2 linked regions of the Canis lupus familiaris genome follow. The protein of the gene in region 1 purifies or fractionates together with the protein of each later gene. This does not show direct contact. Links are inferred from orthologs where the notes say so. Each region holds a gene or a part of one and is shown on either strand. Other genes may lie near its edges.

Region 1 (14,717 bases):
ACCGGGGCTGCCCCCAGCCCTGATTATGTTGAACCACAATCCCCATGGTGCCCAGGGGACCATGGCCTGCAGACCAGACCATGGCCATATGGGAAATGCAGTCCCCTTCACCATTACCTCGCTGCTCACCTGTGTTCTGGCCTCCTGACTCCAGTGCTGGGGACTCCTGGGGGGCCTTCCTCCCCCAGCCTCAGAGGAGGGTCCTCGCCGGGGGGTGGGTGGCCTGGACAGTGTTTGGCGCTGGAGAGGCCAATCCAGGGGAGGCCGGACATCGATGCGACTCAGAGGGGTATGGGGTCTGGCGAGAGGTGCTATGTCACCAGAGGATGGAGGGGGTCTGCGTACAGGAGCAGAACGGGGCCGGGGGAGGCTCAGAGGGGAGGGAGGGCGGGAGAGGGGTGTGAACAGGCTGTTGGGAGGAGAGAATAGGGGAACTGGGTGACCTAGAGCCCCCTTCCCCACTACCCACCCAGTCAGCCGCATGGGGACACATCCCCTTTCAGTGTGTCTCACTGTCCCTCTACAGTAGAACCCCACTCTATTACCCAGATACTGAATAATAATTTCTCCCTTTGTGGCATCTCCTCCTTAGGATATTCCCCCTATGGGTTCCGACCCCATGAGAACTCTAGCGACTCACATCCACTAAAGGGAGAAAGCACTAAGCCATATCCCGAAGCAGACCCAGTCCCCACCTCTTAGGCATGCCCTCAACATAGCTTTTCCTCTGACGCTCAGCCCTGTAGAACCTTCTGAACCCAGACTCCCTCAACTCACTCCGGGCTCCTGGTCCTCCGGATCCGAGGTCCAGACTGGAGATCAGCTATGGGGCTGGGAGTGAGCAGTCCGGGTCCTCCACGACCTCTGGAGAGCCGAGCCACCTCTGGTGACTCTAAGCCGTGTCTTTCTTCCCCTCTGGTCACCTCTGGGGGACCACCGGGGCCTCCAGGGCCCTCTCCAGGCTGGGGACGTGCAGGTGACCTGGGTCGTCCACTAATGAGTGAGCACAGAAAAAGACATCACTCCTTTGTACCTCATAACCAGCCCTCATTCCCATTTCGTGGATTAGCACACGGGAACCTACACAGAATAAAAGAAAGGGTAGGTGGTGCACTGTAAATTGTTGTTCCCACTTCGCAGATGGGAAAATCGAGGCCCTTCGTGTGGAAGTGACTAGTGTCAGGGCTACAAGGTCCATCCAGTCCCAGAGTCTCCAGCCTGAAACTTGGGGAAAGTCGGGACTTTCCTCTTATATTTGACATTCCTTAGGTGGCAGCCTCGGGGGTGGAGACTTCTGAGGGAGCCAATCAGAGAGTGTGGAATTTTGATGAAGGGGTGGGGCCTGACGAAACGGTGGGCGGTGTCTAGAAGAGAAAGACTTTTTGCTGATTGGAAGACAGGAAGGTCCCTGGAGGTGGGGCCTGAAGGGCGGCGTCTCCTTAGCCAGAAGTGTGATTGGCGTAAAGGGGAGGGGCTGTGGGATGGTTAGATGGGCTCAGATTGGAGGTGGAGGTCTGGGACGTGGCCAGGACCTGGACCCACCCGTCGTCCCCCTCCGCGCGAGAAGCCCGGCCCAGCGCCCTCAGCCAGCCCCGCAGGTCCTCCAGCGTGTCGGCGGCCAGAACATAGGTCCTCATGCCTGGGTGCTCAGCCTGCGGGGAGAGAGAGCTGGGGACCGGACGCCCGGGCCCTCCAAAAAGGAGGATGCCGTGGACCCTGGTCAAGCCTTTTTAGCTCCAATAATGAATGCTCCCCCGGCCGCCCCCACGGCCTAGCGCCTTAGTGCCCGCGGGGGATGGACAGACTCACGGTGAAGGTGAAGCGCCGCCCTCGCGGGGCCCCTGGGCCATCGGGCCTGATACTGTAGCTAGGGAGCAGGACGCTGCCCAGGACGCTCTCCTCGCGGCTGTCTGCAGAAGAGGGCTGGGGTCAGCGACAGCGCAGGATCTGAAGGCCAGGAGGCTAAGGGAAAGGGCGGGGGGGGGGGGGAGGGGGCGTCCATCCCTCCCCAGTCAGGGCACTGACCCTTGTAATAGAAGAGGCAATGGCCGGAGAGGACGAACCAGCGGCGTTTCCAGAGCCGCAGCCCCGAGCTGTCCTGGGGAAACAGAGAGAGAGGAGGCCTGAGTAGAGGGGGAGTGCGGAGAGGAAATGTGGAAAGGCAGACGGTGACACCCAGGGGGGCACCTGGGTGGCTCAGTCGGTTAAGAGTCTATCTTGGGCTCAGGTCATGATCCTGGGGTCCTGGGATCCAGCCCCACATGGGTTCCCTGCTCAGTGGGGAGTCTGCTTCTCCCTCTCTCCGCCACTGCCCCTCCCCACTTGTGCTCTCTGGCTATCTCTCTCTCTCTCAAATAAATAAGAAAGAAAGAAAGAAAGAAAGAAAGAAAGAAAGAAAGAAAGAAAGAAAGAAAGAAAGAAAGAAAGAAAGAAAAGAAAAGAAAAGAAAAGAAAAGAAAAGAAAAGAAAAGAAAAGAAAAGAAAAGAGAAAAGAAAGACAATACAAGACAGTGACACCTGGAGACAGAGAAACCCAGAGAGAGGAGAGGAACAGACACATGTCTGATGCAATAGATTGAGCTGGAGAGCTGGAAGCTAGAGTGTGGTGGCTGAGCTCACACAGATTCTGGACACAGTCAGACCTGAGTTGGTCTCCTAGCTCCACCCCTGTCAAACTATGCCATTAGACTAGTCATCTCCTGGCTAGATACTTGAGTTAATAGGGGATTGGGAAGTTACTGGAAGGTTGACATGAGCTACTATACAACACATAGGCAGGAACTTTGCATACTAAGACTTCTGGTCTGATTATTCTGGAGTCTGAGCGCTCCTAGAGCTCGCTTTCAGATTCCCTCTGACCCCAGCATGATAGGCTCCTTCTGGTCAGTTCTTGGCTCAAATGTCATTTTAGAGATGCCTTCCCTGACGGAGAGTCAAACTGTGCCTCTCATCCCACTGAGACTTTTGTGCGTATCCTCCTGTGGTTTGTTTTGTTTTTTAAGATTTTATTTATTTATTCATGAGAGACACAGAGAGGCAGAGACATAGGCAGACGGAGAGGCAGGTTCCCTGCAGGGAACCTGATGCAGGACTCGATTCCAGGACCCAGGGTTCACGACCTAAGCCGAAGGCAGATGCTCAACCACTGAGCCACCCAGGCATCCCATCTGTGTTATTTCTTCATAGCAATCCCTACCATCTGAAATATGCTCATGTATTATCTATCCCTGCCCCACCCCATCTCCAACAGACTATAGATACTTATTTGTCTTATTTGGGCTAGGCACGTTATAAATATTCAGGAAGTGGTCACTAAATGAATGAATGAACAGGTGCGGGGAACAATGGCATAAAAAGGGGAGAAGCACCATTAGAAAACAAAACAAAACAAAACAAATTTGGAGGCTGGGAAGAAGAGAAACAATGGACAGCCAGGGACCCAGCATCCAGCGTCACTCAGCGTCCCTTCCCTTCTCCTGCTCACTCCACCTGCTTATGAAGCCAGCCTCGGATGTGCACTGGGAGGTTGGGATCCCTTCTGAGCGCATTGCCTCTCTTCCCAAAGGCGTGCACCTTGCTTACTGCCCGGGTAGGCTTCTGAGGAGAGATGGAGGACAGAGATGAACAGAGCCTTGGATCGGCCTGGGGAGGCGATGCCACGGGATGCAGGCAACCCAAGGCCTCACTCAGCTGCCCTTAGAAACCAAGCCAAGGAGGGGATTGAATCTTGAGATCAGAATTGGAAGTGCATGGTACCAGTTGACAGACACTTTGAATAGGCGACTGGCCGGGGGGTGTTTGAGGCAAAAGAAAAAGCTACTGACTGATGGGGGAGGGATGGGAGAATCAAGGGTCTGCTGCCAAGGAGAGGATGCCGTTGGCCACCAGAGCCAGAGATGTGCAGTCTTTGGGATCAGAATTGGAAATACTGCCTGGGAGGTCCCCATAACCAGGAAAGACTTCCATGCTGAGTCCCTGGTGATGGGTCAGCTGAATGGGAGGATGCCTCAGTGCCAGGGAGTGACATCTCTTAGCAACCACATCCAGGGCAGAGAGATGGCTCCAAGTCCCTCCTTCCCAATAGAGGGGAGCCCCCTCTCCAGTCCATGCAGGCATCTCAGGCATACACAGCCAGAGTCCCATAGGAAGCCATTCCTTGGGGATGCCGCTGACCAAGGTTGGGACTGAATCTCTAGATTCTGAACTGGGGAAACTGGAAATGAGTAAACAGAGTGGCAGACGACAAAGAAATGAGTGTTGTCATTAGACTTTGGCCTGGGGTGACTATTTGTGACACAAGTGTCTCAGGCCTCTTGGGGCCTCATTGTCAGAGAAACGTCTTTCCTTATAGGATTTCAGAACTGGGTAGGATGGCTAGAGGTAGGATAGGGAGTTCTCGGTCCCAGTCAAGGGCAGCCACTGCCTGAGTTCCTGGAGGGAGCCTCATGGCTGGGGAGTAGCCCTATCTTAGCAACCAGAGTCCAGCAGGATCGTTACTCTGGTTAAATTAGGAAAATACGAGGGGTGGGGACAGCTGGGAGTGCCTCTGAATTCCTAGCTGGGCCTGATGGGCAATTTGGGACCTTACTAGGTGTAGCAGAGCCCACTGCTATGGATCCTTGCTCTTAGCAACGGGGAATCCCTTGGGTTGGCACGGAACCCTGGGCTGGGAAACAGGAGGATGGGGCAGCCCAGAGCTCAGCCCTCCTCCCCAGCCCCTCCAAGAAGCTCCAACCTTGGTGCTCAGGCTGCCCAGAGAGGAGATGGTGGAGGCGCTGCTGGCCAGGCTGAGGCTGCTCCGGGGTCTGCCCTCCTCCATCCAGGGCTTGGGGAGAGAAAGAAAGGGGCTGTGTGCCTTGTCTCTGCAGCTGACCCAGCTGGGGACAGAGCCGGGGTCAGGGGCTCGCAGGTCGGAGGAGGCCGAGGAGAAAGAGCCCGTTGTCTGGGGACTGGGGGGCTGGGGGAGGCCCTGGCCCGGGACTGCATACCGAGAGCCATGCCAACAGAGGTGGGCGGCACTGGCAGCTGCCGGCAGCCCAAGACAGAGAATAGGGGCTCCTTTATTCTTGCCCCCTTGCACTCTCGCCAGGAATTTGACCCTCTCTGTGCTCAGGGAGCCCCTATTCTCTGGCTCTTCCCAGCAGCCCCCAGCTACCTGTCTCCTGCCCTCCCACACACACCCCCAAGCCATTCCTGCCAAGCCCTGGGACGCCTGGAATGCACGCCCAGGCACTCCCTCCCAGGCCAGCCAGGGAACTTACCAGCTCTGGGGTCCCAAAGACGGAGCGAGAGGACAGTGTGGGTGCTGGGGCTCCCAGCTGCAGTGTCCCTCCTTTTCTGGGGGGGCGGAGGGGGCTACCTCTCAGACCTGTCTCCCTTCTCACCTGCTCACTCACAGGCTTTTTTGCCTTTTTTTTTTTTTTTTTTTTTTTGTCTCTTGCCTCTTCTGATCACTCTTCCCTTTCTTTCCGAGTGTCTCTGTCTCTGGCCTCACCTGGTCTCTCCGGTTCTCAATCTGTCTCCTCCAGTCTCTCTCTCTCACTCATTCTCTTCCCCGCCCCCCACCTCAGCACTTTCCCTTCCAGTCTTTTCTGTTTCTGTTCCAGATCTTTTTCGTTCGGGCTGACACAGAGTCTCTTCCTCAGGTCTCCATTTCGTTCTCCCCCCCCCACCCCCACCCTCTAGCTCTTCCTCCTTCTCTCTATCTCTGTCCCCACCGACGCTGTTTCCTCCTCTCTCTCAGATTCCCCTTCTGTCTTCCTCCCCTCTCCGTTTCTCTTTCCTCCCTGCTGGTCTGCCAGCCGCCCACGCTGCGGTCTCCCCTTCCAATCCCGGTTGACCCCGCCCCTCCTGGCCTCCCCCCACCCCTTCCAAGCCTGACCCCTGGCTCCGGTGCCCCACAGCTGAGGGGAGGGGCTGGGGCTCCCCTGACTCCTGGGTCCCTGCTGGGCTGGGATTCCTAACTGTTTGGAGAGGAGGAGCTGGGCCTGGACTCCAGGGCCCAGGTCACTGTACCCTAAAAGGAGGTAGCTGAGATCCTGGAATAGAGGGGGCTCACACTTCTGGATACACGAAAAGGTGTAAAGGTGTGAGCCTGGAGTTAGAACTCCTGAGTTGTTAACGGAGTCCGGCATCTGGAAAGGTGTTTCTGGGTGGACAGGTCCAGGTTTTCCAGAGGAGGGAGTGACCCCGGATTCCTGGATCATGGCTAGGGCAGGGTCAAGGGGCCATGGCCAAACATCTATCTCAGATCCAGGTGAGCACTGTGTTCTACACTGAGGATATTTCAAGGAGCAAAATTAGGGACCAGGTAGGAGGGATGGGGCAGGGAATTGGGACTGTGTCCCAGAGTCTGAAACTTGTGGCTGGAGACCCCACTCCCATGAGGTTCAGTGGATGCACTTTGGCCAGAATTTCGGTTTGTGTATGAGCTCTTGTGAGTTTGAAGTGGATGAAATCCAGGTGCGGAGCCTCGGGCTTGAGACCAGTTAAGGAGTCTTTTGAGGTTTTGGTTTCGAATCCACTCACCCACATATGTCGAGCACCTACTATGTGTCCAGCACCGAGGGGGGAAAAAAAAAAAAAAACAATGATTATGGGGATCCCTGGGTGGCTCAGTGGTTTAGCGCCTCCTGATCCTGGAGTCCCGGGATCGGGATCGAGTCCCGCATCAGGCTTTCGGCATGGAGCCTGCTTCTCCCTCTGGCTGTGCCTCTGCCTCTCTCTGTGTTTCTCTCATGAATAAATAAAATCTTTAAAAAAAAAAAAAAAGAAAAAGAAAGAAAGAAAGAAAAAAGCAGTGAGCAAAGCCAAGTGCCTGCCTTCAGCGTGCTTGCATTCTTGTTCTCATCTGCAATCAATGTGGATTGCTGTGACCACTTCCGCCAAGGGACTTCATTCCGGAGCCTCAGTTTCTCATCTGTGAAATGGAATCAACCATCTCCCCAACCAGGAAGGAAGCGGGACCGTTGTGAAGGGGGGACTCTGGTCTGAGGCCTGCTGATTACACTGGGGTTTTGGGAAGGCGTTTTCGCACCGGAACGGGAATTGGGAGAAAACCCGCGGCTCCCGAAGCCCCGCACGCATTTGATTGACAGCTCGCCCGTTTCGGGCGTGGTCGCGCTCGGAAACGTCGTTGTGTCGTCATAAAACCCCTGGAATCTCCGCGAGAATTCCAATCCCGAGCCGGGTGGTTTTGGTTTCAAAACCCCGCCCCCGTGACGTCAGCACGTGAGGTTGCGCTGGGCTATAAAGGCCTTTGGAGGCTGCGTCAGTTCCAAGCTCTGCTGTGCAACTTACACGCTCAGGTTCAGGACGCCGCATCCCTTCGCCGCGACAGCGCTTGCAGCAGCCGGTGGTACCCGGAGTCCCCGAGCCCGACACCGGAGGGCGAGATGAACGCGCTGGCCTCCCGAGCCGTCCTGAGCTGCGATCGCTGGTGGCAACCCGAGCCGGCGCTCCTGCCCCCAGGTTGACGCGTAGCCCCCCATCGGTGAGCGAGGGGTCCGAACGCCTGGGCCCCGAGCAGTTGGGGAGCTGGGGATCAGACTCCTGGTCAGTAAGGAAGAAGGGATTACCCATTTCTGGGTACCGAGACAGGAGAATTTGAGGCCGGGACCCCAGGATCCTGAGGAAGGAGGGCCTGGGAACCGGAACTCCTGTATTTGGGGAGAGATGGGACCAGGACAGATTCGAGGGCCCAGACCTACGCAGGAGAAGAAATTGGGAGCCTGGAGGCCTGAGCCTGGCGAGAGGAGGGTTCTGGAAGCCAAACTCCTGGATCCCTGGTGGAAGGGATGGAACTGGGCAGGGGGAGCCGCAGTTCTTGAGTCTCAGAGGGGGGAGGGTGATGAGGGCCTGATTTGTCGATCCTCAAGAAAATGACAGAACCAGGGACTAGGACCTTGTCCCCAAGGGAAGCAAGTCGAGGACCTGTGTTCTCAATTCTGGGGTCTGGGACTGCTGGGTCTGAGAGAAGAGGCTGGAACCTCTGACTCCTGGGTATTGAGAGAAGAGAGGTGGGAAAGCTGTGCCTCTGCTAGAGATGGAAGTGGCAGAAATCAGCAAGAATGTGGGGCAGGGACTCTCTTGTTGCTATTTGTGTTACTGTTTATGGTTGCTATGACTCAGTCCTCGCTTGATACTCTTCCCTAAATGGCTTCTAAACTATTTCCTTTGTTTATTTCCAGCACAGACAGATGGCCCCAGGCCAAGTGCCCCATCAGTCTGCCCCCTGGAGGGATACCTACCCCTTTTTCCTCCTGTCCCCGCTGATGGGCCTTCTCAGCAGGGCCTGGAGCCACCTGAGAGGCCCAGGATCTCCAGAACCCTGGCCGTGGGAAGCAGTAACCAAAACGGATCGGGGAAAACCTGGCCTGGAGAGAGAAGCTAAGACTTTTCTAGTCCCCCACCATCCCCTCTGGGGCAGGCACTTTGAAGAAGAGATTGGAGACAGTGGAGCAAGTGATGAGAATGGAGAAGCATTTTGGGGGGCCCGCCATAATCTAAAAGCCAACAGCTCTTCTCTTAAAGCAGGGGGACTTTCAGATAATGAAGATGAAGAATATGGTGGGGAACAAGCAGCAACCAGTGTCCCTAAAGAGCAGGAAAGTGAATTCCTAGATGGCCAGCCTGCTCCCCTGTCCCCCAGCCTTCTGATAAGAACCCCACAGGACCCTTCTGAGGAGAAATCTGAGGAAGGAGGAGCTGCAGAAGACAAAGTGGTCATGTTCTTCTCTTTTCCTCCATCACACTGGGAGTGTTGTCCAGGGGAGGAAAAGGAGGAAGGAGAAGCTATAAACAAAGAAGCTTCCAGAACACCGATTTTCCCTTTATCTCCAAGATCCAAGCCCAAAACTCGGGTGTACTGTCCCAGGGAGGAAGAAGATAAAGCCATAGAGGAAGAAAGAACAGAGGATAAAGAAGCCACAAAAAGCTCCATTTCCTCCTCATTTTCAGGCTTTTGCCCCGGGGCCTGGGAGTGTTGCTCAGGAGAGGAATGGGAGGAGGAGGAGGATGAATTCAGTGATTCAGGAGCAGCTGAGGAGGAAGGAGAAGCTGAGGTTCTCTCTTCCATCCCATCCACAAGTGCCCTCATGAGGGCCTGGGTGTATCGGCCAGGAGAGGAGTCAGAGGAAGAAGATGAGGACAGTGATTCAGGAGCAGCTGAAGAGGAGAGAGAACCTGAGGGTCCTTCCTCCATCCCATCCACAAGTGCCCTCATGAGGGCCTGGGTGTATCGGCCAGGAGAGGACTCCGAGGAAGAAGGTGAGGACAGTGATTCAGGAGCAGCTGAAGAGGAGGGAGAACCTGAGGGTCCCTCCTCCATCCCATCAACAAGTGCCCTTGTGAGGGCCTGGGTGTATCGGCCAGGAGAGGACTCAGAGGAAGAAGATGAGGACAGTGATTCAGGAGCAGCTGAAGAGGAGGGAGAAGCTGAGGGTCCCTCCTCCATCCCATCCACAAGTGCCCTCGTGAGGGCCTGGGTGTATCGTCCAGGAGAGGACTCAGAGGAAGAAGATGAGGACAGTGATTCAGGAGCAGCTGAAGAGGAGGGAGAAGTTGAGGGTCCCTCTTCCATCCCATCCACAAGTGCCCTCGTGAGGGCCTGGGTGTATCGTCCAGGAGAGGACTCAGAGGAAGAAGATGAGGACAGTGATTCAGGAGCAGCTGAAGAGGAGGGAGAAGCTGAGGGTCCCTCCTCCATCCCATCCACAAGTGCCCTCGTGAGGGCCTGGGTGTATTGTCCAGGAGAGGACTCAGAGGAAGAAGATGACGGTGACTCAGGAGCAGCTGAAGAGGAGGGAGAAGCATATGATCCCTCCTCCATCCCATCCACAAGTGCCCTCGTGAGGGCCTGGGTGTATAGGCCAGGAGAGGACACAGAGGAAGATGATGATTCAGAAGCAGTTAACTCAGAGCCAAGTCCCTCACTTCAGGCTCAGAGCACCCTCCTCAGGGGCTGGACATACCAGCCTGGAGAGGACACAGAGAGAGGGGGAGAAGCTGAGCCCTGCCCCTTCCGAGTGGCCATCTATTTACCTGGAGAAAAGCCACCACCTCCCTGGGCTCCTCCTCGGCTGCCCCTCAGACTGCAGAGGCGACTCAAGCCCCCAGAAACCCCCACCCGGCATCCAGACCCTGAGACTCCCCTAACGGCCAGAAAGGTGGGTACTGAGGGCTCAAATTCTCAAGTCTTAGGGGAAGAGCTGGAAGTCCTAGGCCTGGGGGCAGAAGGCCTGAGTGCCCCAATTTCTGGACCCCCTGTGTGTTGCAGGGGATTGCATGCAAACCCTGTTGGGAGGGTTGTGTTCACTGTAATGCAATCCTTTGCAAGAGGCTGGGGCCCCATGGGAAGAGGCCCTGTGGGAAGAGGGAAGCTGTTGTGGTTCATGTCAGCACCAGGAAACAGCCTCCACCTGCAGTGAGTCACATGGAGAATCCCGTGGGTGAGCGACTAGCAGGTGACTAAGATAACAAGCATTTTTGTGCAACTAATTTTTGTTTTGGCTCTCTCTCTCCCCCCTGCCCCCCCTGTGGACACGTGTGTCTTGTGTCTGTGCTGGTCCGTCTCCAGGTCCGTTTCTCCGAGAAAGTCTCTGTCCATCTCCTGGCTGTCTGGGCAGGACCGGCTCAGGCAGCCCGCCGCGGACCCTGGGAGCAGCTCGCCCGAGATCGTAGTCGCTTCGCCCGGCGGATCGCCCAGGCCCAGGAGCAGCTGGGCCCCTGTCTCACCCCTGCTGCCCGGGCCAGGGCCTGGGCACGCTGCGGGAACCCTACCCCTCCTCTGGCCACCACACCTGCTCCTGCCCAGACTTTACCAGTCTCCTCCATCCAGACCACACCCTTGAGCCATGTTGGGGCATCTCCCTCCATTCCTGTGTCCCTATCCCCTGGCCTGGACCTCAGTGGGAGGCGTGGCTAAGATCATGTAGTTTCCTATTTATATGAACTATTTATTTTGTGTGTGTGGTTTCATACAAGAAATAAAACCTTCTGATTTGTAGCAAGCAATGTCCCCTGTGTGTATGTTACTGTCTGTATCTGAACCAACAATTATCCACCACCCGTGGGATAAAGGTGAGTACCTCAATACAGGACAAACTTTCTATTTCCCATCATCCTCAAATTTGCCTCTTCTTGTCCTGAAGCCGCTTTTGAACTAAGGGCTGGTGGGTTTTGTCACTTTTCTTTGGCATCGGCCTAAATTTTATTAAACTTGGGAGTTATCTCTCCTAGGGGGCCTGGAGCTGGGCTCACTGATCTCTAAAAAAAGGATCAATTCCAGCTTTCTGGACCTCCCTGGAATCAACTTATCTTCCTACTGGCCTTTTTTTTTTTTTTTTTTTTTTTTTTAGATTTTTATTAATTTATTCATGGAGACACAGAGAGAGGCAGAGAAAGGCAGAGAGAGAAGCAGGCTCCATTCAGGGAGCCCAATGTGGGACTCTTATCTGGGACCACGGGATCACACCTTGAGCTGAAGGCAGATGCTCCACTGAGCCACCCAGGTGTCCCCCTACTGGCCTTTAAATGGTGATTTGCAATCCTGGGGTCCTGGGATTGAGTCCTGCATCAGGCTCCCTGCAAGGAGCCTGCCTCTCCTTCTGTGTCTCTCATGAATAAATAAAATCTTTTAAAAGTACATAAATATATGGTGATTTGCTCAAGGCTTTCGGCTGTCCAATTTCACCTTTGTAAACCGTTCCATAAGCTGTTTTCTTACCCATAAAATGTGGCTAAAAATAGCACATGCCTTACAGGACTCTAAGGCCCCAAAAGAGCTCAGATTTATTTGCATTTTTTAATTTTTTTTTAAGATTTTATTTTTAATTCCTACATCCAACATGGGGGTTGAACTCACAACCTCGAGATCAAGATCCCACTGTTCACCCACTGAGCCAGCCAGGTATCCCAAGTTTATATTTAAAACAATCCTTATAAAAATAAATAAAAATAAAACAATCCTCACCAAATAACCAATGTTATGTAAGTGTGCTAGTATGGTAATTATTTTCACTCTCACCCATGCACATCTTAAATTACCCATCCAAGTTTACAACTTCAACTTAGAAGTCTTTTCTGACCTCCTAAGATCTGTCCAGTAGTTCGAAGAAGAGTGGTGCAAATATCCTGCCCCCTGGCCTGCCTCTGACCCTGCCCTGCTCTATTGGCTCCCCAAGCTCCTGCCACACTATCCTTTCATTTTCCCAAACCCATCAAGCCCCTTTTCACCATAAGACCTTCGTATGAGCTCTGCCTACTGCCTGATGTGCTGATCCCTCTGGCTCTAGTTCCTTATGATTTTTCAGATGTGGCATGAAAATCACTTTTTTAGAGACACCTTAATCTGACCCAGCTGACCTGTGCTCCAGCGTGCTTTTCTCTTTTGCAGCAGAGGAGCATTTTGACTTTTTTTTTTTTCTTTTTTTTGATTGTTTAAGACCCATCCATCTTCCATGACTCTGAGTTTGGCAAAAGCGGGTGCTGCCAAGAAGCCCACCCACTCCCTGGAGCAGAGGGAGGACTGGGCCCCCAGGCAGTGTATGATGTGTTGGTTGTGTTGTGTTGGTTATGACAAACCATAACCGTGGTGCAAACGAAGGCACGCGGGGGCCCTTTCTCCAAATGAGCAGGCACATCAGCTGGTAAGGGTACAACATTTCATTGGATTACGCACAGGCCAGCTTTCCATCGAAACTGGACAAGCAGATGGCAAAGGCTTGGAGTGGGCAAAGCGGGAAGCGGAAGTCCATGGTGAACGTGTCCGGGGCCACGCGGCCGAACTGGAGCACGAGGTAGTCCACTGAGGAGGAAGTCAGGAACTAAGCCTAGCCCCACCTCTCAACTCCCTTCCAACGTCCTCTGAACTCAGAGAACTCTTACTTCTCCGAGGCTGTGCTGAGCTCCCACTACGTCCAGAAACCCTGAGGGCCATTTAAACTACAGCTCCCAGCAGGCTTTGCAACTGCGTGGAATCGGCCCTGCCTAGAAAAATGCTCAAGGGCTGCTGGGAGAAGTAGTTCTCGTCCTCTCATTACCCTTTGCCCAAGTGTATAAACTGATTCCTAGGAGCTCACGGTCATCCGGATACACGATCTGGAAGTTCTTGACCGAGGCCTGAGTGACTCGACCGTGAAAATTGAGTACGTAGGTGCCGTTCTCCTGGCTCCACAAGGGGGTTTTGTTTTGCAGCAGGATGAGCCTCTGGGTGGCCCCCCGTTGGAAGCGACTCAGTAGTGACTCCAGCCCCTAGAAGATAAAGTAGGGGGCATGGTTAACTGCCACCAATGAACTTTTTTTTTCCTCCGGACTCAGAATTTTGAGTCCCTAATCTCTCCTCTTTGACAAACATAAAAGTCTGACAAAGCCCTTCTGGCTTCACATATGACTACCTGCAAGCCGTAGGCCCTCTTCGCCCTTAGGACCTAGAGCAGATCCCCCAGACCTTCCTCCCGGCCCTGACCCAGAGTCTCAACCCAACTTTAGCCAACTCACGTTTTGTGGCTGGACACTGATTCTCTGGTTCTGGGCATCGATTTCTGGAATGATCACATTCATTTTCCGTGGTCCTCGGAATCCCAAGATGTTGGGCTCCTGGGGGTAGTATGCTGCAGTTAGCCTGGCTCTTTTCTCCCTCCCTACCCTCCTGCTTCATTCGCTCTTGTCTCCCAGACACTCACATAACACACAGCCCCCAGCTCCTCTCTGATGCGAGCGGTCTCCGGGACGAAATTCTTCCTTTCAGGATTCACCCCATTGTCAAAGATGGTGAACTTAGTGCCCAAGACATTAGATCTGCTCCAAGAGGGCAGTGGTCAGAGTAAAGGTAATTACTGTTTTGCTGTGCATTAAGTGCTTTCCTATGTCATCAATTCTTCCCATTAACCCTCTACTTGGGACTTAAGTTCCATACTCCATGTATCCATAGTGCCAGCCCCCTCTGTTTCTTTGATGAGCCATGATTTTAGCCCCCTGCCTTTTAGGAACTTTCCTGCCCCTAAGATGCAAGAATGCACTAATCACAGCCCTCTCCCATGGGGGGAACTTGGGAGTTCCACCACCTTGCCTCCCAAGAAGTCAAATGTCTCAAATGTCAGCCTCTGCTCCAAAGCCCTTACGTCCTCTTATTCCCACTCACTGTGGGGCTACCACCTGAAGAAATACACAGCCTGTCAGTCTGGCTCTTAAGATAAAAGGTCCTAGAGCCCGTGGAACTTAGCTATGTGGCCGGCTTGTCCTTTCCTCCCCTGCCCCTTCCACCACCCTGAGGCTTCTTGCTACCTGTTTCTCACACATATCATGGCTCTGCCCACCTGACTTTGCCCACAAAGTTGTTCCCATCCCGAGACAGGTCTGTGGGGTCCAGAGAGATGAGGTAATTGGAGGTTTTGCTTTTTTTTCTCTTGCGCCCAGCCAGAAGGAAGTGCTGTGGATAGGAAGAAGAGCCCATCAGAATCAATTTCTGACATCTGGTTAGGGTTAGAGGTCCAAGACAAGGAGACACCGTGTCCCCAGGACAAAGAAGAGGGTAATGGAGCAATAAGCATCCCAAGCCTTGCTGGGAGATGTGGTTCTCACAGAAGGAAATCATCAGCTGGGTCCTGAAGGGGAGCTTCACATCTTAATATCAACCCTCCCCCCCCCATCACCATGCCTTTCACCATTGGGTCCTGAGTTAGGGCTCAGTCCAGGCAGGAGTGAGCCTAATTTGTGGC
Region 2 (14,727 bases), on another chromosome or scaffold:
TTCCATGGAGATCAAAGAACATCCCCCTTTTAGGCCAAGTTATCTTAATTCTAACATTTATCCAGTCAAACTAACTAGGCGCATGAGATTCTCACCCAGGACTGTGGCATAGAATTTTTGTCGCAAGGCAGGTTGAGCAGTGACTGGGGCCATTTCTGACATCCCAGACCTCCAAGAGGATACCATCTTCCCCAGTACCCACCGTGGTAACAGCCAAGCTGCCACCCCTTGGTGGCAGCCCTGCCTAACACAGTTGACCTGATCCTGAGAGTCCGAGACAGAATAGTCCCTCACCGTCCTTTCCTGACTAGTGGGAATCTCTTCTCCCTCATCCTCAGGCAAAGTGGCCTGGAGCTCTGCTGCAATCAGAGGGGGCACCTGTAAATCATCTTCCTCCTGTAGGACACAGTCAGCCTCATCAGAGCCACTACCCCAGGGACCCCACTTTAAGACATCACAGCTCTCCCTTCAGTGTGCAGCCAATGGTGGGTAACCAAGCTCTCCGCTCTCCCACAGCCGGCCCGAATTCCCAAGTGTCCCTCCTGCTGTGGGATTCCTCCAGACACAACATCCTGAGGGGAGATACAGGTGGTTCACGGATTAACAGAACCAACGCTTCTCCAGTCTTCTCTGACTCCCGACTCCTTCAAGGCGCTCCACCACCTACAGACTGAGGGCCCAGCTACCACTAGTCTCCTCTCCCTTCCCCTCTCAGGCAGGCCACTTAACTACCCCTGGGGCATTTCCCCCAAAACTCCACACTCGTAGGCCAGGCCACCTCTCCCCACACTGTGGTGGCCACCAGCTTGGGCTTCCCTTGCCTGGCCTGGATGGCTTCATTTCATCTCCAGGTTGGCTTGCTGCCTCTTAGAAGGTGGAGAAGGGCCAGCCAAGTATCCCCCAGACTCAGAAGGCACCCTGAGAATAAAAAACATCACGAGTCTTCCAGAACCATTTACACCATTTTACTCAGGATAACCTACCCACAGGAGGCACTGGACCAGCTAATCACCCAAGAGACTACTCTTCCACCAAACCTGGCCCATAATCCCCTGCTTTTATAGAGGGAGGGGCATAGTGTGACTGTCACAGTAAAGCTACCTCAAGTGGTGCCTCCTGCAGGCCAGCCACTCTGATCAGTTACCTCCAGTGGCACCTCCTGCAGGCCAGCCACCCCCCCTAGTTACCTCAAGTGGGGCCTCCTGCGAGCCAGCCACCCACCTGAGTTACTTGCGCACCACTCTAGAGAGGATCAGAACAATGCCTCCCTACATTCTGGTCAGGGCACACATTAAACCTCCATGGAGCCTATAACACAGAGCCCTGAGGAAGGTCACAGCGCAGCCATGAACAAGATGGAGGGCCAAAGATGGAGTCCGTGTCGTCAGTACTCACCTATACATGAAGATTAAAAGTACCCTCACCCACTAAATAGTAAAACCAAACATCCATCAACAGAAAAATGGTTAAATCCCATTATCCATTCAATGGTGTTCCATGCAGCTATCATAAAGAAAGAGGCAGATCTACGTACTGATGCAGAAAGCTACCCATACTCTGCCAGGGGGAAGAGGCAGAACTGAACTATATAATGTATAACAGCTGTGTGTTACTGAAAACATCCATGATGAAAAAAAGACTGTAAGTGTTCCAGAGAACATCTCTAGGAAATGAGAGAAGGGTAGGGGGTGAGAAGGGATCTTCACTTTTTAAATGTATTTCTGTATTCACCTATCATTTACTTAAAAAGTACTGAGTTGAGGGCAGCCCGGTGGCGCAGCGGTTTGGTGCCACCTGCAGCCCAGGGTGTGATCCTGGAGACCCGGGATTGAGTCCCACATGAGGCTCCTTGCATGGAGCCTGCTTCTGCCTGTGTCTCTGCCTCTCTCTCTCTCTCTCTCTGTGTCTCTCATGAATAAATAAATAAAAAATCTTAAAAAAAAAAAAAAAGTACTGAGTTGAAACATACTATGTGCCAACACTGTTCTGGGAACAGGAACTAAGTGCTGAAAGGATTAAGTCCCTGCTCTCATGGAACTAACACTCTCTAGTGGAGGCAACCAATCAAACAAGAAAACATGCAGTAGTATGTGCTATGACAAAACTAAGGAAATGTGGGAAGCCTGGGTGGCACAACTGGTTAAGTGTCTGACTACTGGACTACTGGTTTCACCTAGGGTCATGAGACTGAACCCTGCATCCAGCTCTGGGCTGAGTGCAATCTGCTTAAGACTCTCTCTGCCTCTGACCCCACCCCCACCCCCGCGCATGCTCCTGCTCTTTCTCGCTCATTCACAAATAAATAAATCAAAAGAAAAAGAAAAAGAAGGAAGGAAGGAAGGAAGGAAGGAAGGAAGGAAGGAAGGAAGGAAGGAAGGAAGGAAGGAAGAAAGAAAGAAAGAAAGAAAGAAAGAAAGAAAGAAAGAAAGAAAGAAAGAAAGAAGACAAAAAAAAAAGAAAGATATGTGACAGAAGTAAATACAGTGGTCACTTCAGGTTGGGCGATCAGGAATGGCCTCTCTGAAGAGACCAGAATGACAAGAGGAGCAAGTCAAAAGAAGTCCTGGAAAAGAACATTTCAGGCAGGAGAAATAACTAATGAAAAGGTTCGGAAAGAAAATGGTAGGGAGAACGCTCCAAATGAGATCAGAGTGGCAGGCAGGGGCCAGATCGGATCAAGTAGGGCTTTGCAGGCAAGGGTAATGAGTCCATATTTTATTAAATGATCTGAAGCTTGTTAGTCATAATAGTATTTTTACTTTTGGAGGAAAAAATTTTAATTAAAATAACTTAAAGAAAAATTAAAATGCCAAAAGCCATGCTGGATTTTCCTTAGGTATCTTTAAAATAAGCAACTGTTGTAAACACAGTTTATTCTACCTCTATTATCTTCTTTAGGATCTGTCGAAATCGAAGAGTTAAGGCATCAGATTTTTTCTTCAGGAGGTTTCGACCCGTTTGCGCTCCTTTTAATCGAGCCTTCATGATGGTCTGTGCCCTATACAAAGTTAAAAATATTTATTCCCACTGTTTAGAAAACATAAAAATACTTCCCCAATAAAGTATTAAAGTTATGCTTTACTTTTTGATGTCATGAAAATAAGAATATATAGCATTTGTGCTGACAAAATTAGTTTCTCACTGCAAATTTCCATCTTCAGTGCTCCATAAATAAGAAGTTCATTTACTTAAAACAGAAATAATTCTTTAATCAATATCTGGAAAAACATTAAATCATAATACAATTTCTTAGGGGTCCTATTTTATACCACCATAGCTAAAATATTTGATTTGCAAGTTCAAATTATATCTGTATTTCCTTTTTTTTTTTTATATCTGTATTTCCATTACAGCTGTATTAAGCATTTTTTTTAAATCTGTCCACTAATATCAAAAATTGAAATGCTCTTACCTTCGGGACTAACAATTCCACTATGCGAAATTTATCCTACAGATCTACTCTCGTATGTACACAAAAATATATACAATGTTAAGAATGAGTACTCCACCCTTGTAATTGCAAAAAGGTGGCAACAAGCTAAATGTTCCATAAATCATGGTTCATCATACAATGAAATAATATGCAGTCATAAAAAAAAGAGAAAGCTAAAAGAACAATATAATCTATATTATATTCTCTTATGCAAAGAAAGGGATGAATATGCTTATACAAATACGAAGAACAGTTCTAGAAAAGATTCACAGAAACTGGTAACAGCTGCCTTTAAGAAATGGGATTGAGTGAAAATATGTTATTTACTTTTTACTATATTTATTATCTTTTGAACCTTTTGTATTAGATACCACAACCATTAATTACTTTTTCTATTAAAAGTATGGCATTTAAAGTGTTTTCATCTCACCAGTCAATATCCTATCACCAATAATTTTATTACTTTGTAAATGACTCTAGGAACCAATGACACATATTTGAGTAGTGACAAACTACAGAAATCTCCTTACCTCCTTATTCCAAACTTTTCCCATCAGAAACCCCAATACCAAAGTCAAGAAAGTAACAGCAGAAATTGACATTTCTGTTCTTACTACCATATGCCAGATAAAACATAGTAATAAAAAAAAGTAGGTAAGATGATTTAACGATCAATTGTATAATGTAGATACTTAAGGTATTTGTATAAGGGGATATAATTTCATATGACTGGTACCATAATCTATCGCAAAACAGCATGTATTAATGTATTAATGGACCTTTGGGTAAATTCCTAGATTTTATTAATGGACCTTTGGGTAAATTCCTAGATTTTACTGAAATCTTTTTCCATAGGGAAAAGGTTACACAGACAATTCTATAGCTGAAAGAAGCTTCAAATATTATCTTGAAAATGAGGCTTAGAAAAATGAAACACTTTCTTCCGTCACAGGGGGGACGGGATGGGGACAATGATGATGACTAGACTGAAACAGATTTCCGACTCCAGTTTCTTGCCCAAGACTCAAACTAAAGCTCAAACCCAGGCCCACTGTATCCCAACCACATGCCACACTGCCTATTTATAAATAGCATCAGATGAACAGTTCCCTCTTTGAAAACTACTGTCAGTAGCTGAATTTGCACTGACTGGCCTCACTGGAGGTCTAAGTGAAGCCGGTTCAGCTTCTAGCCTGAGCTGGAACTATCCAGCCCAATGTGTACATTTAACATATTATGTTGTTGACACTAATGACCAGAATTTGGGCTCAAAGAGTTGGAGGATCAAATTTAAGTCAAATCCTAGCTGCAGATTCAATACAGTAAAAAAGGTAAGCCAATTGATAAAATTAATCATGCTAATTTTAATTTACTCCTAGCTAATGGCACCTCTGTGAAATAGACAAATTTTATTTCTTGAGTCTTGAAGAGTGATTTGCCCAAGAGTTTACAGCTAGTATGTTGTAGAATCTGGATCTGAGGGACCTCTGTTGACTGCAAATCCTTCATGCCTCTTTCGCTTTCACTCTAACCTTGTTTTGCTCTTTCTGGTGCCTAAGTGGGAGACAGCCCCACTTCACAGGGTAACACTGTATGGTGGAACTGTCTGACACAGAGGTCACTATAGTATTTTCTATCCTAGCTCTTTAAAAAAAACAGAGCTGCTCAGCTCTAGGAAAAATGTTCGACCTTCAGCTAGAATGATGACTTTGTTTTCAGCTGAATCAAAGACATCTGACTGCATGACAAAATACCTGCTGTTAAGTCTTGAGGAAAATATTTAGAGAAGCAGTAACTTCCTGCACCTTATTTTCCTCTCAATCACCAAGCTGAGTGCTCTCAAGTAGCAATTTTCACTTTTATAAACCTATTAGTCTTCTTGTCTGAACCCAAAGAAGGCCATTTTCACTTCTTAGACTCAAAGTACAAACAAAAATATGTTAACATTCTGAGTACCATCAAAAATAAACACAGCCAGACATTAAAGTGGTGAAAAGAAATTTTGTTTAGTAATCACTGAAAGTAGGAGAAAGAGGTGAACTACATTCTGACTTGTACAGAAGTGGTTAGGCATTTTAAAGGAAGAATAAGGGAAAGGAGCTAGAGTGGACTCAAGAAGAGTCACAGAAGTGAAAAATTACAAAGGGTTGATCACTGAAAATGACACTTGGCTAGTTGTGCCTGCTAGCTGGTAGTCATGGAAGTTAGGATTCTATCTTCCCATGAGACTGGGAGACAGAAGCCTCATCCTTCCCAATGACTACATTTCAAAGAAATGGCTTTCAGATCGTTGAGAACGACACTTCTGAGTTGTAGGAGAGACATACATATCTCAAATGGAAAAGAAAAGACTTCTAATTATAAGCTATTTTTAATAAATGCCTTAAGAAAGGGAGGTCAAGGGCTATCCTAGGTATTGGACAGGACAAACAAAAAAAATTCTCCTGGTAGCACTGGGCTTTCTCAGGCAGGCATTTTAATGGTTGCTTGAGTCATTCTAAGAACAGAGCCTTAGGCCATGCTAGTTTGGTGGTGTCTCAGGGAAGACTTTTAGTCAGTCAAGTACTGGGAGTTCTGCAGATCTTACCATCCCAGGGTAGCCTTGGTCCTTATCTATTTTACAGGCACTACTTTTCTCCACAACTGACTTGCTTCCTACCTAGTACAAACACCTATTAGAAAACCAGTAGGTGAAAGTAAAAAATAAGCAAACAAAATCCAAGAACTCTTTCATTTCATTAACAGCTAGAGCTACCCTGGCAGAAACAAATCTAAGTCTGGGATTTGAATGTAACTCTTTTACTTTAAGCATTCCCAGATTCTCTGAGAAAAAAAAAAAAAATCAAGATGAAGAAAAAAAAACCCAGAACACTCCCAAAGAAATAGGACCACAATCAAAAGATCTAAATATCAAAGCCTAACTGATTTTCTACTTCTCACTGAAGAAGAAGAAAAAAAAAAAGTAGTAGAAGAGAAGGCAAATAATAATCTTTACTTTCTACGCATTGTTAGGCACATCTGAGAAAACTGCAAAACTGTCTTTAAAAACTGGCCACCTGGGGCTCTAATGCTTTTTCTCCCGCGAAAGAATTCAGGCCCAAGAGAAGGGCAGGCCACAAGTGAGCAGATCCCAAGAAGACATGGGTTCATCCAAAGAAATTTTTTTGTAGATTTTCTATGGGTTAATTATCAAGACGCTCTCTCCTCCTGGAGACAGCTCACAATCAGGGGGAAAGGTGTGTAAACAAATATTCACTTTATATAATCTGATGGGTGGTATAACAGAGGTCTGAACGAGGTGCAATGGTGATGGAGCAAACGGAATGCCTCAGAAACTCAGGGATATCTTCCCACTGCAGGTGACATTTCGTGGGATCTGGGAAAATGAGGAAAAGGATCCAAGATTGAATCTGATGTCCACGCTAGGGCAATTCGACTCAACCCCCAATTTGGCCTGGACGCCTCTCTTATGTGCTTCTCACCATTGTAAACTTCCCTTCTCAGAGTATTTATCAAACCTCGCTGGCTGGTCCATCTCTCCGTTAAACTGCGAACTCCCTTAGGCAAAACTGGCGACGATTCATAGTTCTATAAATCCACTGCCCAGCTACATAAGGGAATATGGGATGAATGGCTTCATTACTAAGTCAGCGCACCTCCATAAAAACAAGCAGGCCGGGCAGCCTGTCCCTACGGATTGGAATCGCTCTGTTCCGTATGGTTTCCTCAGAGGGACTTGTGAGGGGGCCGTAAGGGTGCATCGCCCCAAACTCACGAAATTCAGGATCCGCCCAGCAAACAAGGAACCTCGCTGCCGGTCCGGGGTATGCAGGGATCGCAGCTCGGGACAGGCGTTCGTGAACCTACGGATGCTGCTCGACCCGTTCTTTTACTTACATGCGCGAGGGAAAGATTTCAATTCGGTCTTTGCCCGACATTCTGACGGTGATAGTTCGGCTCGGATCCCTAGCCGGGCAATCGTGGCTGCAACAGCCCCAGCCACAGGGTCTTCCTCCACGGGAGTCAGCTGATTGTGTCACCTGACCTCTTCGCGTTGCTAAGTGGCAGCTGGGATACGTATATACGCATCCTTCACTTCCGCTTCCTGTTGGCACGTGGGGAGGGCGGGGAGCGGGGGGGAAGGACAAGAATGAGGCGATGCCCGGATGTTGAGGCCTCGCTCGCACCCCGCACTGAACTTCCCCTCACTTCCGGTTCTCCCCCAAGCCCCGCCCCTTCAACTCCCAGGAGGCTGCGCAGGACTCTGCACGCGCGAGGTGAAAGAACAGGAGAGGAGAGTACACGCCTTCTCTTCCTCCCCTTTTCATCTTGGTCACAGCGCCACCTCATGGTTGCCTGAAGCTTCGAGCGAGGGTTAATTCTTCAAGGACAAGGGATCAGTCCTACTCCTCCTGCGCCTTGAAAGTTACTTAGTGAAAACGACAGAGTTCGACAAAGCGTACTTTTCAGGTCCTCCTATGATCTTCATCCTTCCTTTTTTTTTTTCCGGAGGACCTAGACTCTATGGTCAGTGAGGAAGAGGGACCTCTATGCTGTGGGCGCTTGCGTGATGCGAGGCGGTTCCGCATGCGCGGTGGGGTAGAGCCGAGCGCACGCTGAGGATCGGCCGCTGCTGCGGGTGGACTGTCCGATCTCTGCGATTAAAGAGCACGGCGCGGGATCCCGGCGCAGGATTCACACACATACCTCAGGTGACTGGTTCCCCAGATCAGATTCTTTAAGAACTCGCTTTGGTTGTGTGCAGTGACGGGTGTGCGGGGGAGGGTAGGCCCCGGGCTCACACCCCTCCCTTTCCCGTTCCTGCGCGGGAAGTGTCCGACCCCCCCCCGCCGGCGCCGGCTGGGTCCGCGGTGTTCAGGGTGTCCGTGCACCAGCCGAGGAGTCTGGTGAAGCCAAGTGAGCCAGGAGACGCTGCAGCCTCTGCGATATGCTCAAAGTGAGGCTGCTTGGAGAGGGGGGCGGCTTCGGGGAAACGCTGTGACACCCCCGCCCCGGGACGCTCAGCGCTTTGCTCGGGGCCTCAGAATACCACCGCTCGCCTTTTTTTTTTTTTCTTTTTTTCCCCTTCTCCGCCCAAGCAACTACTGCTTCTCAGTGGAAACCAGACCAGGCGCTTGAAGGGCCATTTGGGGTGGGCCGCAGTGTTGGTGAGATCTGGGTTAAAAGGATCCAAGAATAGTTTATCTGTCCGATAATTGATTTTTTTTTTTAAATTGATGCTTACTACCGTGTCGCTTGACTTGTGCATTTTTATAGAACGAGTCATCCCTTGCATCGAAACTAAAACATACCGTTGAAGAGTTTACTATTCTTAGTGTCAATTTGCCGTATCTCAGCACCAATGAGAAAAGACAAGCTGTGGCCCCAACGGTTAAGCATAACTAAAAAGATAAGGGAATTTGGGGGTTAAATACGTATTCAGCCTGAGGCCTTTTTTATTACTCGTCGAACTTAGGCTGTTTCATTAAACAAGAAACATTGTTTTCTTGGAGCAAAGCTGTAACAAGGCAGTGTTGGTTTTTCTCCCAGTTGAAGTTATCAAGGAAAAAAATTTGTGATTCTGTGTCTTTTCAGCAGTTCGTGAATTATATAGAGCTTTACTGCCTCTTCTGAGTTGGTCTGATGCCAAGTGACAGTTAATTATTCTCCTAAGATCTCAAGAAGAGTGATATTTGTAGATGGGTGCTTTCTATTTCAACTACGGTGAAACAGTTTGAGAGCCTATTTGCGTAGCACTGCTCTACTAAAAACTAGCATGCAGAGAACGTTCCCCAGAAACATTTGAGCCAAGTGGGAATTCTCACGAGTTACCTCTATCACATAACACACTTAACTTTGTAAAGTGATGGGGACTCCCCGGATCTGTTGGGGTTACTTGACCATGCACTGGTTTAAGAAAGAAGTCCAACCTACCCTTTGACCAGGCAAAATTACTGACAATGCAGGGTATTTGAAATTAGCTTGGAGTTCAGTTAATATATTATTGAAATATAGATATTTTGTGTGGAAGAACACATACTGTATTTTAGTACTCTCACATACGGACGCCTTCTGGGTTAAAGGTATTCTGCAATTAATATCAGAAGACTTGGTTTTAGTTCCTGTTCTGGTACTTACTAAGTATTTATCCTTGAGAAAGTCATTTAATATTTCTGTTCCTTGGTTCCCTTTTAATTGATTGCTTCACTTACTCCTTTCAGAGTACTTTATATTGCTTGTATTTGCTTACTAGTTTGTTTCCCGCTCTATACTTTCTTAAGTAAGACTCTTTAAGTGTCAGTAGTGCTTAGTACATAAATACTGCAAAAATAATTGTTTAACCAATGAAGCTACAAAATGGCAATGATACCCACTTTGCTTTTTAATGTCATATGTGTATAGCACATTACACTTTTCAAATTTTTTCCATATTTCTTAATCTCATTTGTTACTCTCCAAAGAGAGGAGAGGTCTGAGAGGTCCATGACACAGACTAGAAATTACAGTTTAATGGGAATGCGTTTCCCGAGCAACTACAGCTAGTAAGTAGGAGAGCAAGGCTTGGAATCCATGTCTAGAGTGTTTTGTAATTCTTAGCTACTTTCTATGTCAAATAACATACCATCACTTGTGTTCTTTTTGTACGCTATGTATTGTAAAGAGATTGGTACCTCTTAAAGCAGTAACATTCATATCTCTCATCAGGATTCCTTTACAAAAGTGCCTGTGTTCTTTAATCATCAAATTAAGTCTTACTTCCCCAAAATTAATCAGCTTTACTGTTTGAATAAACCTGGTAAGTAAATGTGGTTAGTTAGTCCCTGTTAAATCTTTTAAAACTGTTAAACACATTTCTGTGACATCATTTACTTTGATATTCAGTTTAAAACTTTTAGCTCTCGAACTTTAGTGCTTTACATACAGATATTTGACAACAGTTCTCCAAAAGAGAGAGGGGGGAAAAAAGCCCTGTTTAAGAATGAAACAACCAGCTCAGCTGTTTCTTGGTGGGTAATTCTGGCCATTGAAATGTCTACTGCCCTTTATTTGCTAAATCCCTATTTTGTCAAGGTATAAAAGAAATGCATTTCTGCTGCTATTATTAAATTTTGCTTTATTTTTATTAAACAGGATAGATTAGTATTAAAAGCTTGCATTGTGGTGCCTAGGTTGCTCAACGGTTGGGCTTCTGCCTTTGGCTCAGTGTGTGATCCTAGGGTCCCAGGATAGAGTCCTGCATCGGGCTCCCTGCATGGGGCCTGCTTCTCCCTCTGCTTGTGTCTCTGCCCCCCCCCCCCCTTCTCATGAATAAATAAATAAAATCTTTTTAAAAGGAAATAAAAGCTTGCATTAATCTTGCTAAAGTACATATTTTAGCACTGAGTATGTATATTAATGTTACCTTTTTTAAAAGCTGTTTGTAACTTATATATTTATCAAAACAGTGAAAATACAGCCTGATGCATAATAGCACAGACTATGGATCCAAACTTCATAGGTTCATATTCTATCACTTGTTCACAGTATATAACAGAACTAGTTACTTAATCTGTGTTTCCATTTCTTCAACTGTAAAATGGAGAGAACATGGGAGAGAGGCAGTGGCCAGATCATAGAGGATCCTGTAGGTAGTGTAAAGATGTAAAAGTCAGTGGGAGGCCACTGTGAAGATACGTGTGGGTGCAGTTGGCATCTCAAACTGTACTGCCCCAGAAGTCTGGTGTTCTATGATCTGGATGTTTTGTCTTTAAGATCAAGTAATGGCAGCCTTATTTTCCAATTATAGGGAAAAAATTGGCATGCCTGGGTGGCTTAGTTAAGCGTCTGGCTCTTGATTTTTGGCCAAGATCAGGATCGTAAGATCAAGCCCCACGTCAGGCTTACGCTGGACGTGGAGCCTATTTAAGATTCTCTCTCCCTTGCCCTCTGCCCTACTTGCTCTCTATCTTTCTCTAAAAAAAATAAAAGAAGTAAACAAATTCTCACATACTTTTCTTAGGCTTTTAGGTCCTATCACTGCCTATTTTGTGAACTTTGAGAATAGTAAATTGGTTAAGATTAGTAGAAAAACATGAAAATCATCAGCTATGATTAGTTTTATAGTCCTCTTTTAAAAATACACCTCTGTGCATGGTATAATTTAAGTCTTGTAGGTCATAAAAGGAGTGGTGCTGAAAGTAGGTTGGATAGATCAAAGGAAATAGAGTTTAAGAGACACTTGAACTTTATAGTAATGGAGTTCTGTAAAGCTATTCTCAAGAGTAGTTATACGAGAGTAGGTATACTTGTTCAATAAAAGAATTTAGTTGTGTTTAGTTATATTTAATATTTTGTGATTAGTAAATTTTTAGGTTGTATCTTAACACATACTGTAATTTTGGCTAAAATGATAGGGTATATTATTTGATATATGATTAGGACCATGGTTTTAGTAGTTGGAAGAGTCTTCCCTTTATATATTGGTGGTAGTATACAACGACTTAGCTGACTTGGAGAACGAGTAGCTTTAGTTTGGCTGATAGGTTTATAGTAGTAGTGATGCTTCCCATCATTTGTTATTTCTTAAAGTGATGATATTAAAATAGTAATTTACTCTTGAGATATACCTTTAATCCTTAGGTCTCAAAGTACTTTATAGGTGGTCATTATTTTTTATGATTCCTCTAAAACTGATGGCAGAGAATCACTCAAGCCTTAAAAAATGTGGAGCAAAGTAAAAATTAAAGTTTGATTCCTGAACATCCGTTTTCTGGTCCATTTAAGAAGTTTAAAGAGGTGAAAAGACAAATAGTTCTTCCAGTGGCAAGATATGGAAAATTGACATTTCTTTATTTTGATGTTAACTGAACACTCACTTGATTCTTTTGTTTAAAATGCAGAATGCCGGGTCTAAGTTGTAGATTTTATCAACACAAATTTCCTGAAGTGGAAGATGTAGTGATGGTGAATGTAAGGTCCATTGCTGAAATGGGGGCTTATGTCAGCTTGCTGGAATACAACAATATTGAAGGCATGATTCTTCTTAGTGAGTTGTCCAGAAGGCGTATCCGTTCTATAAACAAACTCATCAGAATTGGCAGGAATGAATGTGTGGTTGTCATTAGAGTGGACAAAGAAAAAGGTAAGTGATAAAAATATGCAAAATATAAATTTCAGATTTAACATGATTTATTTTAATTTTTTTGTAAATTGCTGATGCTGTAAAAACCAAAAAAAAATCTTTTATACTTAAATTTTTTTACATACAAAGTTGTTAGAGAAAGATGCCAATTACCCATCTAAGCAAGACCTCTTAAGTTAGTGGTGGTTTAATTAGCACGTTCCTGTGGCTAATGTTTGTGAGTCAAATAACTTGACTTTTATTCCCAGAGGTTACCAGGATATTGATAGTTGACTCATTGTGGCTAAACTCAGAAGGGACAGATCCATAAATCAGAGTTTTCATATATTTGTAAGATTCCTTTTTATTGAGATGCCTGGGTGGCTCAGTGGGGTAAGCATCTGACCCTTGATCTCAGCTCAGGTCTTGGTCTTAAGGTTGTGAATTCAATTGAAGCTAAATTTGTAATCAGATTATTGGAGGAACATGGAAATAGAGTAAAGGTAAATGGATTTTAAGAATATCTTATATAAATTCTGGAAAAGGAATATACCACAAACACCCAAAACACAGTATTCTGTATATCTTTGATTATTAGTGGGTGTTCTATGAATATTCATTCATAATGTCCAAAATTGCTAAACAGTTGAGGAAATGGGAAAGTATTACCCAAACAAGAGAAAAAGCAAATGGAGACTGACCTAGAGGTGACAATATTGGAGTTAGCAGATAAGGATTTTAGAACAGATGTTATAACTGCTCAAGGATTTTAGGAAAATAAACTTGTAATGAATGAACAAAATGAAATCTCAGTAGAGAAATTAGAAACTCAAAAAAATAAATAAATAAATAAATTAAAAAAAAGAGAAATTAGAAACTCTCAGAACTAAATATAAATTTTAAAATTTAAAGTATAATCTCTAAAAAACTCACCAAATGGGCTAAGAGCAGGGTAAAGATGGCAGAAGGCCCAAGTCAGACTTGCACATAGTTCGTTTAAAGAACCAATCTGAAGAACAAAGCAGAGGAAAAACAACCTGTCAAATATTAAAAGCTGTATTCCAAAGGAAGAGAAAGGGCAGAAAACATATTTGAGGAAATCCTGACCAGAGTTCCCAGGATTTGCCGAAAAAAAACAGATTTATAAACAAGAAGCTTATTAACAAACTTCAAGCAGGATAAATACTAGTAAGACCACATCTAGGCACATTACACTATTGGAAAACAGATCGAGAAAATCTTGAAAGTAATCAAAGGAAAATGATTCATGATTTACAGGGAAACAGTAATACAAATTAGTATGGTACTCTTACTGAAAATAATGGCTGACTGACACTGAGCATTGAATGACATCTTTAAAGCACTAAAAGAGAAAAATTGTCAGCCCAGGATTCTAGGATATTTAAAATATTCAATGATGAAAATCCAAAATGACTTTTTCAGGTGAATAGAAACTAAGAGGATTTATTACTTGATTTCTGTTAGAGGAAATGGTTAAAGGATGTTATGCGAGCCCATGAGGTGTGATACCTGACATGGGAAATATATAGGTTAAATGTATAAAAGACCATTTTTCCCTCTTAAATTCTTTAAAATACATGTAAGTGCTTGTCTCATTTTGTACTCATGGGATTTTAATTTATGGAAGTGACTGACAACATAGTAAGGCCATGGCAATGAATGCAATGGCCTCACCATGCCCACACAGGGCCACCATGAGGAGGAAGCACCAGTTTCGGTCAGGAGGCAGAAGGAGCATCAAGAATACAGGAAAAAAAAAAAAGAATACAGAAAATGGGGCAGCCGGAGTGGCTCAGTGGTTTAGCGCCTCCTTTGGCCCTGGGTGTGATCCTGGAGACCCAGGATCGAGTCCCACGTCAGGCTCCCTGCATGGAGCCTGCTTCTCCCTCTGCCTGTGTCTCTGCCTCTCTCTGTGTCTCTCATGAATAAATAAGTAAAATATTAAAAAAAAAAAAAAAAAAAGAATACAGAAAATATAACACAATTGAGCCTTTGATGAATGGATACCAAAAAGACAAGTATAGAATCTTTTGACTAGCTTTCATTTGAGTAATTGAGAGCCCTAGTTCCCTTCACTGAAGTGTTAAAGAATCTACAATTACATAATACAAGTGAGTTTCTGAAAACAAAAATCTCTCATCTTATACAGTGTTTAATTGATATGATTTTAGTG

What was found.
Region 2: the proteins of PPP1R15A (region 1) and EIF2S1 purify together in Homo sapiens (affinity purification with western blotting; 4 studies listed by BioGRID and IntAct, with this or other methods). This does not show direct contact. The link is inferred for Canis lupus familiaris from reciprocal best matches to the Homo sapiens genes PPP1R15A and EIF2S1.

The regions. Positions count from the first base shown.
Region 1 is NC_049222.1:108,156,914-108,171,630, reverse strand, and holds PPP1R15A (protein phosphatase 1 regulatory subunit 15A), read left to right. Parts: upstream 1-7,263; 5' UTR 7,264-7,554; intron 7,555-8,189; 5' UTR 8,190-8,198; coding exon 8,199-10,166; intron 10,167-10,576; coding exon 10,577-10,924; 3' UTR 10,925-11,013; downstream 11,014-14,717. Other genes in the region: PLEKHA4 (pleckstrin homology domain-containing family A member 4), read right to left, coding at 130-409, 778-993, 1,543-1,652, 1,810-1,910, 2,026-2,098, 3,490-3,597, 4,736-4,819; TULP2 (tubby-related protein 2), read right to left, coding at 12,672-12,805, 13,080-13,251, 13,498-13,596, 13,683-13,797, 14,316-14,428. UniProt on the Homo sapiens protein: Recruits the serine/threonine-protein phosphatase PPP1CA to prevents excessive phosphorylation of the translation initiation factor eIF-2A/EIF2S1, thereby reversing the shut-off of protein synthesis initiated by stress-inducible kinases and facilitating recovery of cells from stress.
Region 2 is NC_049229.1:41,625,284-41,640,010, forward strand, and holds the start of EIF2S1 (eukaryotic translation initiation factor 2 subunit 1), read left to right. Parts: upstream 1-7,648; 5' UTR 7,649-8,145; intron 8,146-8,370; exon of another isoform or gene 8,371-8,390; intron 8,391-12,312; 5' UTR 12,313-12,313; coding exon 12,314-12,554; intron 12,555-14,727. Other genes in the region: ATP6V1D (V-type proton ATPase subunit D), read right to left, coding at 2,881-2,998, 7,331-7,371. UniProt on the Homo sapiens protein: Member of the eIF2 complex that functions in the early steps of protein synthesis by forming a ternary complex with GTP and initiator tRNA. This complex binds to a 40S ribosomal subunit, followed by mRNA binding to form a 43S pre-initiation complex (43S PIC).